Linked DNA regions of Lepisosteus oculatus. The protein of the gene in region 1 purifies or fractionates together with the protein of each later gene. This does not show direct contact. Links are inferred from orthologs where the notes say so. Each region holds a gene or a part of one and is shown in the gene's direction. Other genes may lie near its edges.

Evidence for each region. Proteins that work in one complex are often made in the same cells at the same time.
Region 2: the proteins of usp36 (region 1) and dgcr8 purify together in Homo sapiens (affinity purification with western blotting; 3 studies listed by BioGRID, with this or other methods). This does not show direct contact. The link is inferred for Lepisosteus oculatus from reciprocal best matches to the Homo sapiens genes USP36 and DGCR8.

What each region holds. Positions count from the first base shown.
Region 1 is NC_090704.1:41,287,875-41,295,807, forward strand, and holds the start of usp36 (ubiquitin carboxyl-terminal hydrolase 36), read left to right. Parts: upstream 1-4,922; 5' UTR 4,923-5,004; exon of another isoform or gene 5,005-5,452; 5' UTR 5,453-5,570; intron 5,571-6,186; 5' UTR 6,187-7,933. Other genes in the region: timp2a (metalloproteinase inhibitor 2a), read left to right, coding at 444-568, 952-1,149. UniProt on the Homo sapiens protein: Deubiquitinase essential for the regulation of nucleolar structure and function. Required for cell and organism viability.
Region 2 is NC_090717.1:2,990,096-2,997,458, forward strand, and holds the start of dgcr8 (microprocessor complex subunit DGCR8), read left to right. Parts: upstream 1-4,355; 5' UTR 4,356-4,477; intron 4,478-6,038; 5' UTR 6,039-6,375; coding exon 6,376-7,101; intron 7,102-7,363.

The sequences.
Region 1 (7,933 bases):
ACACCAGCTACCAGTGAGGAGGAGAACAAAGTGATGAAGTCAATTCATAGATGGAGATTATTAGGAGGCCATGATTGGTAAAGGCCAATGGGAAATTTGGCCAGGACACCGGGGTTACACCCCTACTCTTTTTGAGACACACCTTGGGATTTTTAATGACCACAGAGAGTCAGGGCCTCGGTTTTACATCTCATGCGAAGTATGGTGCCTTTTTAGAGTATAGTGTCCCTGTCACTATACTGGGGCATAAGGACCCACACAGACCGCAGGATGAGCGCCCCCTGCTGGCCCCACTAACACCTCTTCCAGCAGCAGCCTTAGCTTTCCCAGGAGTCTCCCCTCCAGGTACTGGCCAGGCTCACACCTGCTGAGCTTCAGTGGGCTGCCAGCGGTGAGCTGCAGGGTGATCTGGCTGCTGATGCGACTGTCCCTGTAACCCCCAGGCAAGGCAGAAGCGGATGGAAAGATGCACGTGACCCTGTGTGACTTCATCGTGCCCTGGGAGTCCATGAGCGCCACTCAGAAGAAGAGTCTGAACCAGCGGTACCAGATGGGCTGTGAGTGCAAGGTGAGGAGGGACCGGTCTGGCCATGGGGTGGCGATTCCCAGTCCGGGTCCAGGATACCCACGGGCCTGCCGGGCTTTCTTCCAGCCCAGCTCTCAGCGACGCAACCAGTCCCCCCGTTGACTTAATCATAGGATTAGTTCCTGCTCCTAAACATCATATTTTGTGCCCCTCATTCCTCTTTTAGTGTCTCGGTTCTCTCTTATCTTGTTTGTGGCCATCCCTGTGTTCTGATGTTAACTGCTTTAAAGCCAAAAGCGCGAAACTCGTCCCTCGTCTCTCGTTTTTGCAGCACAGCCTCCCCCGGGATGCTGTGCAGCGGCCGGCGGCGGCGCTGGCAAGGAAGACGAGCGCGGCCCCAGCTAACGGGTGTTGTCCTTCCACAGATATCGCGCTGCTCCTCCATCCCGTGCATCATCAACAGCCAGGACGAGTGCCTGTGGACGGACTGGGTGATGGAGAAGAGCATCAGCGGTCGTCAGGCCAACCACTACGCCTGCATCAAGAGGAGTGACGGCTCCTGTGCTTGGTACCGCGGAGTGGCGCCCCCCAAGAAGGAATTCTTGGACATTGAGGACCCCTAAACCCCCACCCCCCACACACACACCCCCACCCCCACCCCCCCCTGCTCGCCCGCCCACGCGTGCCCTCTGCGCCGCCGGCAGACACCGCCTGCGAAACGATAAGAAGAAAAAAAAGAGCATTATAAATAATTAAATAAACAGTGAGATTATTAAAACGTAACAGATGTAGACTGGTCGAGTGATGACGTCACTTCCTCAAGAAGCCTTGCAGCAACTACGGCAGTGTGTGAGGGACAATCTTGTGAGGACAGCACTTTCTGCCCCAAAAAGCGCTTATTCTTCTTTAAAAAAAAATAATACAGCAAAATTAAAATAACCTACCAAACATTGGTTTGTGCTTTACTTATAGCAAGGGTATAACAATATCTTTGTCCACAACAAAGGTGTTGTTTATCCTGTTGAAAGCCAAATCTCCAAAGGTCAAATCTCACTGAACATTTCCTGTTTCTCATAACCATGCAGCTTGAACCAATCAGATTCATGGTGAGGCGGGACTTCCCAGAATATTGTGATGTTTGTTTCTGAATGACAGCATTATGTGTAAAAAAAAAAATGCATGGTTTATGAGATGGAAATTTTGAACCAAAGGCTTGAACTACTCATTTCTAGCAGTTTTGAGACGCAATAAAGAACTGACCTGTGCGTTCTTCCAGTCGTTGCCTTTAGCACTTTCTCGGTTCACCAAGAGATACCCTGTTGAAAATAAAATAGTGCTCACGATGCTTTTCACACGTGTTGGGAATTCTTAAACTGTTACGTGTCGTAAAAGGGCATGATTTAGTCTGAGCCATGAAATAGAGGTTTGCTGACATACAGTAGGTCTTACATAAGAGGCCTATCAGTGTTTGAAACTGTTTGTTTGCAAGTCAGCTGGGCCTTCTGCCCCCTGTGGCGTCAGGAGTGCTGATGTCAGGGTGAAGAGGACTGTGGGTATTTGGGGCTGGGAGCTGGCTGGCAGTGTGCAGGGGTGTGAATGTACAGAAGCAGCTTCTCTGGGCACAGCTGGCACAGCCTCTCCTCTGCCAAAGCAGCAGACTCTTCCCAGGGCGGGATTGTTCCTGGTCTTAGACCTTGAACAGGGCAGATTGGAATACCGGCCGAGTGAACCGTCGCCAGAAACCGTCCGCACGAGGTAGTCGTGACCAGAATTTGGAAACCCAGTCGCGTTTGTGGCGTTGTGGTGGAAGCGAAAGCCGAGACCCAGACTCAGCCCTCGGAGAAACCTCAGTTCGCTAGGAAATGAAGGAATGTAATCGTGTTCCACAATTTGAACAGTAGTTCAGTGACAGATTTGACCTTTCTCCTCCTCGAGGGGATTCCTGATGTCTCACTGGTCCAGTCTATGCCTTGTCAATAAAGTAATGGAGCCTCGCTTGCTGTGGTTGTTCCTATACGCTCCTATGGCCTATCCTCTGTCCACATTGTCTTCCTGTCCCCTGTACAGTACCTATGCATATACGTTTGTTATTTTTATACATATATTTTTAAATTCTTTTTTATTATAATTATTAATAATCTTGGTTAGACCTTTTTAGATTTGCACTTTCTAAGGAGTCGAGACATTTGGTCAAAAGACGAAGGTCTCAAACAGGGAGGATTGAATCCTCTTCTTGATTTTTGTAATTTTTGTTTTGTAACCTTCTAGTTCTTTATACAATTGATTTTCTAATATTATTGTTTGGTCTTGCTACTTTCATGTAATGCTTTTATTCTCTCTTTTTTCTTTAAAGTACTATAGAAACTTCAAATCCCCCCCCCCCCCCACAATTTGTGTATGTTGAGTTGCTGTAAGGCAGGGCTCGAGGTTATGATGACCCACAGCACACATTGTGATGTCTAGGAAACCATATGTTGTTCATAACCGTGTTCATTGCCAGGAACTACTTTATAGAGTGTGTTTCAGGAGACTGAAACCAAATAAAGGAACAATTTAAACAAGTGAAATGATAAAGGAATGTATTCTTTGACTTCATATCCCATTGCTTCAGGTCAGGTATAAATGCACATCCATCTTTAGAAATCTGATTCCTGGAGCATTAACAAGTATTGCGATTTAGAAATATAGAGTACGTTTATAAGGAAGCATCCAGGGTGTTCAGTATCATAATATTCTTCATTCATTCTCCCAATACTCTTAACGCCTACACCATATTGATCATGGTGATTTGTTAAAAAGCAGTATTCCTGGTTTTGCATTTCATACTGATATTTTTTTCTTAAAATCACTATGGAATATAGTTTCTCAAAAAAGACAGTTTCCTAAGCAAAGACTATTGTATCACGCCATTTTCATAAACGCACAGTGCTTTGCTGGAGAAATATCGCAGTGACTCCAGACCGCTGGGTTGTGCAGTTTGATTGCTCTCAGTGTCATTTTGAAATCTCTGGAATTAATTGCGTAATAGTTTTATGCATTTGTATCACTGAAAATAAACTGATCTGTGGCAATATGTTAAAGTAGCTGTCTTGCAGAGATGTTTGTAGGGTAAGTTACTGTGTCTCCATATACATGAAGGGCAAAGTGCAGGCATCATTCAACAAGAACTGTACTACAGCCTGTTAACTGATTAATTGGGTTTGATAAATAAGTACACTTTACTTAAGGATGAGTGATGTTTTTTTTTTTTACATTTATTGAACATTGGTTCATCCCAGCCATTAGTAAAAGTTCCAGATTTCACATAAGTTCATTTCAGATGGGGGAAATCAATACTTAGAGGTTTAGTCAAACTATCTTGGTCTGATAAAACACCAAGCAACATGATTTTAAATGCTGCAGAGTGTTGCTCTAATGATATTCAACTGTTTGAAATAATAGGAGATGTAATTATCTGCATTCAGGTCCCAGACAGTAATGGCAAATCTGCTAAAAAACAGTCCATTACTTTAAACACACATTTCTGTCTTGCGTAGAGAAATTCATCCTACAAGACCTGTTAAGTGAAAGCAAAAGTTTACATGGTATTTTTAGTATTTTGTTGCTATTCAAGTACTAGATGTATCTGAAAACGCATAATTTAAATCTTGAGTGATCTGTGTTTTTTCTTTATTTGGCCATTTTATTTTTTTATTGTATTTTTTTTCTTCTTTCTCTGATGTTTGCTGAAGAGTGAGATTTCTTGTGCTGGAGACACATGAGAGCCATTGTAAAATGAAAACCAGACTATGCATGTCTTTGACGCTTTGTATAATTCATATGTGGGCATACAGTCAATGGATTAAATATACAGTATTATCAAATAAAAATTTAGAATAACATGTCTCTTCATTTCTTATAAGATAACCTCCCTCCCTGGACTATGGCTAATTCACATGCGTCTTATTGACCTGGATTTTAAAATGGCAACAGATTTGGTCATCGGAAGTATAAGTAATTTCAGTTCTCCTCAACCCCTTTTAACTGAACTAAATGAGGACCTACAAATCCCTTGATATTAGTAGTTTTAAAATGAACTGCCCATGCTAGCGGTTTTTCGACACGGACCTTTCACCCAATGTGTTCGACAAAATATTTTCTTTGCATCTAGAAGTCTGTTTTTTTAGTAGTCTATGAAAGAACCTTTATCATAGCAGCAATTCAATTGCATCCTTCCTAACCCATATCCTTTCGTTGTTTATTTTTACTCATTACCTTCAGACGCACGGAAGGGACGTTAACAAATGGAACTCTATCCACTGTTTTACGGATTTAAGTGTAAAAAGGGAGATGAAGATGAAATGTGGTGAAAGACTGCCTACTTGTGGTCGCACTATTTAATTACAATATTACCACAAAAACAACACAAAACAGGCTGTGCTTCATTGCCATTACAGCCCTCTTACCTATGATATTCTTCGGATAAATCGAGCACACCAGTAAGACTGATTATATATATATATCACACGATGTAGGCCTACACTGAAAGCCTGGATGGACTAAAACATAAAATATATGACCTGAAAAACAAATATGAAAAAGATGAGGCTCATGTATTTTTTAAGATACAAATAAAACGTATGACGGATATATTTTAACCGCACATTGGCGTGTTTAACGAAGAACAAAGGCTACAAGAGACTGCACTAAATGACGTTATCTTACCGAGCAAGATTTGGCAAATTATATTTTAAAAAACAGAACGACGCCACACGTGTACAATGAACACCATACAGAAATCGGTTTAAAAATGTTTCGTTGTTGTTTACAATCTGGAGTTTGGTGGGGCTTGGAGCTCATGCGGTTATTTTCGCGAAAATACGGTGTCGTTTGAGAAGCCGGGTGCTGCGAATTGAGGAGTAAATTTGTGTTGTGTGTGTTGTACAGAGAAAAGGCTTTCGGTGTTATTCTCACAAGACTCCCCACAGCTTCGGAGCCGGGATACAGACACAAACCACGATTTTTAGGTAAGATGGAGACCCGGAGCTCTGGGTTTGGCCTTGAGGTGAGAGCTGTTTCATCTTGTTCTAAGTCTGGTTTGTATTAACGTGCATTTGCTGTATCTGGTCAAATCTTCAAACGTCGCATAATAGTCTCGAATCAAGAAGGAGGCAAATTCGGGTAAACGAGGCAGCGTTACTGTCACTTTGCTGAATACTGTAGTAAATTCTTAAAATAATTTTATATTCATCTTAACTGAACCAGTTAATGTTCACGTTAAGTGAAGTGAGTCTGTTTTCTAGAGGATGACCTTAGGTGCGATTTGCTGTTGTGGTGTATTTACCGTATTACGGCACTGAGCTACTATTCGATTGATCACCAGTGATCCAAAAGACAAGTTATTTTGACTGCCACATATACAATACTTCTCTTTCCACAACTAGAAGATACATTTCTGGGATAATTACTCAAATACCAGTTCTACGTTTTCGCTGTTGTACACTTTAGTCTGGGGATTCCAAGAAATGCTGCATTAACTGTCTAGTTGGTTTACACCACTGAAAACAAAATATGGCGTATCTGAAGGTACCACTTGATCCTCTTCATTTTAATGTGTTGGATTACTTTTGTGAGCTTTTTACTGTTACACATTTTCCATTAAACACATTTTTCCCTTCCAGTATTTTCACCAAGATGGAGCTTTTTAAAAGTTTATCACTGCAGGAATTCACAGAGGATGGTGATACTAGTCAGCATTTGTGTTTTCAGTCCAGAGCTGTGCCGCCTGGGGTTATTGTTGGGATGAGACAGTGGAGGGCAAGCACATTGCATTTAAAGATGTTGTATGGCATAAAACTGCTTATGGGTGAAAATAATCACTTGGATTTCTTTGTGGTGGGTTTATCTGAATAATTTCACCCAAACCGCTGAGCTGTGGTTGCTTTGGTAAGGGGTGTTGGTGGGTCACTAGGTGGCATCCTTCAGGTGATACATTGAACCAAGGTCCAGACGACCTTGTCATTAAAGGTCCCGGAGCACTGTCAGTAAGAGCAGAGGTCTTAGCCCTGGTGTCCAGGCTAAACTCCTATTTGGGCTTGTTCAGTCTGGCCTCCCCAAATAAACATCCTTCTTTAATATCACTGGTGAACCTGTGTCTAATTCTTCACCTGAAGAATGTACTGAGTGAGTGTACTGGTGCACTTTGGCTGCCGTTGCATCATGCAGGTAGAGCTGCACACTTGTGGTGGTGGAGGGGATCCCCATTACTTGTAAAGCGCTTCGAGTGGAGTTTCAGGAAAAGGGTATATAAGTGTATGGAATTATTATCATTATATACATGCAAGGAATTATAATTTTTTGTCAATCGGGCCGCACAGTGGCACTGTGATTAGCATTGACTCCTGATCTGGGATGCTATCTGTGTGGAGTTTGCATGTTCTTCCCGGTGTTTGTGTGGGTTTCCCCTTACAGTCCAGGGAATTCTGGTAAGTTAATGGGCCTCTGGGAGAACTGGCCCTGGTGTGAGTTTGTGCCTGTGGTGGACTGGTGTCCCGTCCAGGGTGTACCCTGACTTGCCGGGACAAGCTCCAGCTCTGCCAGGGAAGATGCATGGAAGAATGTTTTTTTAAAACTTTTTTTGTCAAAAGCACTAATATATCTCCTTATTCAAAACCATGATACATACATTTATCTGACTTTCATTATTCATTATCAGAAAGCTTCCTATTGCCAGTGATGGCCATCCCCCAGAACCACAATGTGCTAGACGGGGCAATAGTCAGTCCAATAGTGAGGTGTGCACACACAGGGACAAGTCAGTATCACTGACTTATGCACTCATGGTGTATTTCTAATATTAAGTTGCATTTGTTTTAATTTTGTACTTCAGTCAGCTTTGTGGTTATATGATGAGGTTTGCACTGTATTGGAAGGCTGTAAAAAGACTGCACTTTTACAGTTATATTCAGGAACTCTCTCCCCCTGCCCCCCAAAATAAATATAATTCAGGTTTATCTGCAAACCAAACACTATGTTGTTAAATGTCAGGAGGTCAAGGTCAGGAATTAACATAAAATATAATGTCGCCTCCTAGACTTATTCTAGATGGCCTTGGCGCAGTGAATTTACTAGATGAGAAACAGGCTTTATTCAGCCTGTTTCTCAGGAGTCCTCTTGGATGTAGAAAGGTATTATAAAGATTAAGAATATTGCAGCGCGCTTTTGCAGTTTGGCAAGAATTTAAACGTGACGCGCAAATCATACGTGTGGGAAAGGTGCGTAAGGGTCTATTTAAAAGCGGTAGGTCATCATCCATCACGGCCTGTGGAAGACTTTTTCAATTTAGTGCGTGATGAAGACCTGCCCAAGGTGAAAGAAATGTATGGAACTACCAGCGATGAATTAGGTACATGCTCACTATTCGCCTTG
Region 2 (7,363 bases), on another chromosome or scaffold:
CTGTCTTCTGCACTTAAAGAAGCAAGGGATAATAGCAATTCTGTGTTCCACCATTGTCCCTTGTGTTTCTGGAGTGTCTTTTTACCACTGTGATATCGTAAAAACAAAACGCCCCCGGTGCTGCATGGTTCCAGGTGGTGTTTTTTTGTTTGTCATGCACATGCTGAGGAAGCATGGGTCAGAAACAGGGTGGCGAGGCATCAAGGAGGCCCTTGCCTGGACCAGACCTGGACCAGACCTGGACCAGACCTGGACCAGACCTGGACCAGACCTGGACCCGCTCTCCACCTTAGTTTTGTGAATCCAAATCCCTGGGATCCCCTCCCAAAGCCTTCATGTTTTACATCGGTCTGATTCTGCCCAGCAGTCCTCTCATAGGCTCAGAAATTGTCATCTTCATTTATGTCAACCACTTAACAAAGTGGCCATATTAAATGTTTCACGCTCATTGTTCAACCTTGCACAGCAGCAAGGATTATTATTTTCAGGTGTCATACAGTAGGGGAGAGACTAATTAATCATCATCATTGTTCAGTTTCCAAGTTTTTTTTTTTCACTCCCTGAAGCTGAAGGTTACTGTCCTCTCCTTAGTAGTTTAGTTGGTTAGTTTTGTTCAGAGGGGGAGTTCAAAGTTCCTTCCTCCCCTTTGTGTCCAGGAGGCCATGTATTGTGACAGACCCTGATGATTTATGTAGCTACAGCCGACATGTGCAAGATGTCCCATTCAGGACCTTTCCCTCCATTTCTTGGTTTTTAACTAGATGTTTTCCCAATGCTGTTATCTGTGCATTGAGAATGTAGTTGTAGGCTTTCGTTTAATAGTGCATGGGGAAAAAAGACATGTATTAACCAGTATGGCTTAACTTTGAATGTTTCACCCACTAACCTCAAAATTAATGTTTTTTTAATATGCATTACATCTTTAAATTAATGGCTGCACCCTGAAATCGCATTAGCAATAATTGCTACTCTGCAGTCCTTGGTAAAATCATACCCTGAGCGCTGTTATTATAGAGAGGGCTGAAGGGCAGGGTTATTGATGTCCAGACCCAAGTAAAACTGCACTGCAATCCATGCCATTAAAAGAAGCACAAAACGTCAGTCTTTATGCGTTTTGAATAGTGTGTAATTCTGATTCAGAGCCAGGATGCTCTGGTCATCATGGAATTTCCTTGCTGGCTTTTAATACCACAATCGTAAAGTGCTATAAATACAAGCATCTGTGCTGGGTTTGTAGTGTCTGCACTCATTGTAAAAGCTGAGGAGACAGTTGTCTGTCCTTGTTCTATAAAGATGTTTGGTTTTCTTTGCTGATGTAAGCTCTGCGTAATTACCTTGTGCACTTACATAGCGTGTGTCCTCCTTTGGGAAACAGTGATATTCTAGGCAGAGGTTTTAGCTCTGTTGTGAAAGTGCTGCTCTAGACTCTTTTAAAGTTATAGTTCATTAATTATGAACCCTGACCATGGCTATATTCCATCATCCCAAAAGGCAGAGGTGAATATTTTTTTTGTTTGCTTCCAGTCTACTGTTCATTAGTGCACTGAAACCAAAAACTAATGGAATAGTCTTTTTGATTTAACTCTTGTGTCTGTCACCCACAGTCACCTCATGTGTCCTGATAGACTCCTTGCGTGAGTTTGAGACAGGGCGGTGATGCTGCAAGTAAAATTGTGAAAGTACAGTGGTGTAAACTCACAAGTCAGTAGATATGAGAGTGCTGGGTTATCAATTGCCCTAGCTGAATTTAGAGCAAGGGTAAAATACTCCAATTAAGCAACTTGAATTACTTCAATTAACTAATTGAGCTAGTATGTGGGCCTCCAGGTCTAGAATTGGGACCCTTGCAGTAAACAAAATCAAAATGTGAGCTTCTGGACGTTGCTTTGCTCAGTTCTTCCAAGTCCACTCCAAATATTTACCATTTTTGTTCTTTTATCTTGCCTTTCGGTACAGAACATTCTCAGGGCACTTTACATTCATCCAATAATAAAAGTACAATAAACAGAATATTCTGTAAAACCAGATATAATTGAGAGAGAAAAAAAAGAAATGAACTGATAATTAAAGGCTATCAAGAAATAATATAAACCTATAAATCGGTAGCAATGTCATGATAGTGGATAGAATATGATGTCCAGATGACTGAAACCTGTGGGATGATTGTGTATTCCTAATAAGTTGCATCAATAGTCTTTTGCAAATGTTATACATATATACAATATATTGTATATTCTGTTTGTTTAAGCCATAAGTCACCTGGAATGAAGAGATCTACACAATTCTGTATTATCACAGTAGTAGATAATGTTGGCAACTGAAAAAGACTTCAGCGCTGTGAAAAGGCTTGAATATAACCACCAAGGCCACAGTGTGTTCGTGCTGTATAAGTAATATAACATTTCTGTGCAGAATTTGATACTGAAAGAATGTATTCAGATTATAAGGGACAAATATCAATAGTGCCATTGTCTGACTGCAGTACTTCCCCTGGTATTATTGTCTTTTTAATGTGCTTGATATATGGTGATTAATATTAAAAATATTGAATAATATTTTTAATAAAGTAATGAATATTAGACATCTCACTGGCTTCTCATATGTGCTGAAGAATGCATATGCAGAATAATTTTATTTCCTTTGGAGATTTTCTCTGTTCTTAATGAGTGCCAGGGACTTTGAGAAATCTGAGTAACTGCGATGTAGCTTCTCTGTAACGTGTAGAAAGAACATGTTATAACCTTGAAACTTCATACTCGTGATGTCTGGTGCATTGGCACTGCGCTTTACTGTACTGCCCTCTTGTGTTGGTATTTATTAATACTTCACTGAATTTTATCGAATGTAAAAACAGGCTTCCTGTTATTTTACAACAAAGGGGTGTCATTTCCCCAGAAAGTGTTTTGTTATAACATGGATCACCCAGTCTATGTGTTTTTAAACAACTGCTTATAGCATCGCTCCTCTCTTTCTGACACCCTAAGGTGTACATAAAAATCTCCTTAGCTAAAATTGACATTTGTCCTTTTATAATAAATGAGTAAGTTTAAACACAGCAATGCCATCGGTGTGAAAATTCAAAGTACTCCAATATACTTGTAGTGACGAAGAACTTTGAAGTCCTTTTTTTAAAGACCTGTGTGTCGAGGCTGGTCGCTGTGGGTGGTGTGAAGCAGGCAGCACCAGTGATCTGGAGGATAGTATTGCTGCCTCGTGGCTGTTGCCTCCTGGATTCAGATCCTTCTGTGGGGAGTTTGCCTGTGCTCCCTGTGGCAACAACAGAGAGCTCCTACCCCCCCCCAGTCCAAACTCTGCTGTCTAGGTTCATTGGTACCTGAAGAAGTGTCCACTGTTGACACCCTAGTGTTATATTGCAACCGTTGATCGTTTTTACCATTTCAAGTACAGGTTTGACACGTTTGCTACGAAGACGTCTGTAGCAATTATCTTAGTGGTTAATTTTTTTGTACAGAATAAATTGCGGTATGCTAGTGTCTTTTTTTTAATGCAAGATTTAGCCTATTACTTGAGAAATAAACACATGGGACCACATCGTGTTTAACTATTTTGGTGTATCTAAATCACAATTTGTGTAACTTTGGTAACTTGCATTTGTATTCATAAATCTCCACAATTTAAAGATGTAGTAGTTGGGATGCACCATATACATATTTATTCCAACTGGAAAGCACAATGATAATAAAGGATGCGATATTATACACTGATATGTCTTGTTTTTCTTATGAAGCAAAGCACTCACTTTTATGAATAAGGTGAGTTCGGCTGTGCCCTTTGTAAACACACTGGTAAGAGTTGCTGACCTAACCGCATAACTTAGTTGTTCCATCACTGTATTTTTATTAGTGCACAATTTAATGTAACGGTAAAACGAAGCAGAGTCTACGTAAAACAATACATTTTGTTTACACCTCCAAAGGTCATTATTATATTTTATAAATCGTAAAACAGATGGCAAAACCTAGATCAGAAATAACTCAAACCCAGACCAGATGCTACTACTATATCCCTTTTATACCAAGTGCCCATCACCAACTTAATGGAATACCCACCCCAGTCGTCTTATTGGGGGTTCAGCAAATATCTAATTATTTCAGGTGGGTAGCTGCGTCAGCATGCGTAGCTCCACGGCCGAACCGTTGTGTTCTCTTTCTTCTTTTTTTCAGCATGGAATAAACCTATTACTTGTTCCTTTGCTATCTAATTATTTGATTGGCCCTTTTCTTTATGCAGAGTCGCGTACGCCTCATTCTCACCTCCGATTGGCTAGTCTCTGCAGGCCTTTGCGACCATTGGTCACTGCGCCATCAATCGGCGACGAGCCGGTAAGGGGGGAGGAGCTTCAGCAGCCACTGGTGTTCTTTCAAAGATGGCGGCGGTGGTGAGCAAGATGGAAGATAATTTTCTTGACAATTTAAACTAATTTCAAGCGTGTAAAACAAAATTTATTACTTACAAGGTAAGTAATTGGACGCTGTGGGGAGACTAAAATGATTATCGATTTATTTCGGTTTTTAAAATACCGGAAGAGTTACTGTGGGGGGGGGAGTCTTTTTTTGTGTAGTGGAGCACCAAAAAAAAAATTAAATGAACGAGCTTCATATATGTTTCAAAATTCAGGGTGATTAAGTTAACTCAGGATGTGATAGACATTTAGAATTTATTTTTTAATGTAGAAAATTGTGCCTTTGTTGTAATAAGATATTTCCGAAAACCCACACCTAGCAGTATTTGTTTAACCTAAATAAAACAATAAAAAATAATAAAACCTAATAGATTTCCACCCGACACGGAGTTTTATTATTTTTCATCGTATGAATGTGAAGGCTTAAAAAAACTGTTTTCTACGGGCAAGAAGACACCCAAAAAACCATCTGTTCTGTAAGTGTAAGGATATTACAGTTACATTTGCAAAGCGTGACACTGATAGGCGTTACAGGCCCCATTCAGTTGGCTCAGTTACGTATGGAGATATATGCACTTCTTTTGGTGACATTTTAGCATATAGTTTCTAAGCATAATCTGTATCAAGCACAATCGGCAGAAGAAATCCCGATATTATCAAATAAATCGCGTTCGGCAGCGACTGTTACTGCTGTATGAATGAGAACGTGTCTTTGTATCCTTTTAATTTACGAGAAATTTAAATGTCTCCTTTTAAATCGCGTTATTCTGTTTTCATGTAGATAAGTTCGGAAACGGACCAGACGCCGAATTCTGGTCCGTGGGGTCGTACGGTACTATCAAAAGAGATCGGAAGTAGATTGATCATCTTTAAAATGTTGAAATGAGATTATTGGGGTGTCGTTAATCAGACTTCAGTCCCTTTCTAGCTAGTTGTTCAGTGTGAATAAAGGATGAAAAGGGTGTTATAAACTACAAGAAGGACTGTTTCTCCCAGTGTGTAGGTTGTGCAAATAGTACTTTAAAAGTCATTAGTCCAGCAATTTAATTTTTTAACACAATTTGAGTTCTTATACGTACATTTTTAAAAAGTAGTTTTTGGACACCTCTTGAAATACAAATTGGAAGGTTACTTCCGATATTACTTGCTCAAATATCGGTTACAATAAATAACAACTCAGTTATTGTATAAAAACATAGACTAGATAATATCTTTCATTATTTTCCACGTGGGTGCTCAGTGCAATAAAATAGATATCTATAGTGAATATAAAACATGAAAATACAAGTTAAAGATAATATGCAGTGACCGTATAGGCAAAAGGTAGGGGTCAATAGAAGCAGATAACAGCTGCCCTACAAATCATACAAATCATGGTTGACCTTATTTGGTAAACAGCCTTTAAGTGCCTTAAAATATTTAATCTTTTTTCTTTATTAGTTATGAAAAACTATAATTGAACTATCTAGCTGATGCCTTTCAAATATGAGGCAGTCTTCAAATATTCTGTTTAAGATGGAGGATATCATAGAGAAATACCCGAATGCTAAAAACACTGTCAAAATAAGAAGACACCTGCCCGCTGAGCTCTTTTTCTTTTGTTTTTCCTCCCTAGTTGGGACTTTCCGCTGAAGACTTGACCATGGAAGACGAACAGTGCCTAGCTATGGGCAACATTTAAGCTGAGTGCATTGTGATTTCCAATAATTGAGACAGTGATTCTAAAAAGCTGTCTACATTAATGAAAAGAACAATGTAGTCAGCTTAACATAATCAACAATTACATGACCAAAAGAGAGTGTGTTTTAGAGTAACGAGGAATGTTTCTCCACACGTCTTTAAGTAGTCGAAAACCTCCATTAAAGGGGAAAGAAATAATCATTTTTTAATAATTCAGTTGTATACATTTCCTCCTTCTCTGTATTTTTAGAATAGCATTATTCATTGTTGAAATGGAGACTGATGAAATTCTGCCGCCCCTCCCACAAGGGCCACCTGATGCTTTGAGCTTGGACAGCCTTAATAGTCCCCCACCGTTGCCGCCAAGCACACAGCCTCCACCACCTCCCCTGCAAACGTCCAGTGACGCAGAGGAAATGGACGTTAGCTCAGGTGGTGATGGACAGACAGACGCCCCAGCAGGGGACACTGAAACGACTGGCGCAGAACAGCTCCTCGCGAAGGGATCTGCTTCCTTCACCAGCCGTCTCGCAGACGAGCCAGATTCGAGCCCCCTGAACCCGAGAACCGCTCGGCACGCGCCGCCCGTCACCAAGTTCTTGCCCGACTTGAAGCTACTGAAAGACGTCAAGATTAGCGTGAGCTTTACAGAGAGCAGCAGGAGCAAAGACAGGAAGGTATTGTACACTGGGAAGGGTCAGGAGGTGCAGGCGGACACCCAGCTTAGCAGTGATGGCGTAAACGGCGAGCTGCATGATGCCGATCTGGGGTTAGCTGATGGGCAGGGTCAGGGTGATGCCACTGTAGATGCAGGGAGGAAGGGTGAGGACGTGGAGGCTGACTTGGAGAAGAAAGTAGAATTTGCGGTTCTGGATGAACTCGAGGATTTCACTGAGAATTTTATGGAGACTGGAGACGGAGACCAAGGAGGTTTCCAGTCTGAGGTGATTGTTCAGCAGGAGCAAGCAGATGAGGAAACCCTGAATTATTCCTATGAGGTAAGTTGGCATTTTTTTAATGGTTCGGCTTGCTGCTGTGGAACACATGGTCCTTCCACTACATTGTACACCGTGACCTTATGTAGTTTTCACATGCCTTCATCAGTTGTGGATCACTTTGTTACGTTTTTTTATATGTATAGTTTATCAAATCTTTTTTAAATTGGATATTTTTTTATTAGAGGTTAAAAATAATATTTTTTCTCCAAGATGTGGCTGGTTGTTTTAGACTGTATCGCATCTGGTGGGATCTGTATCCAGA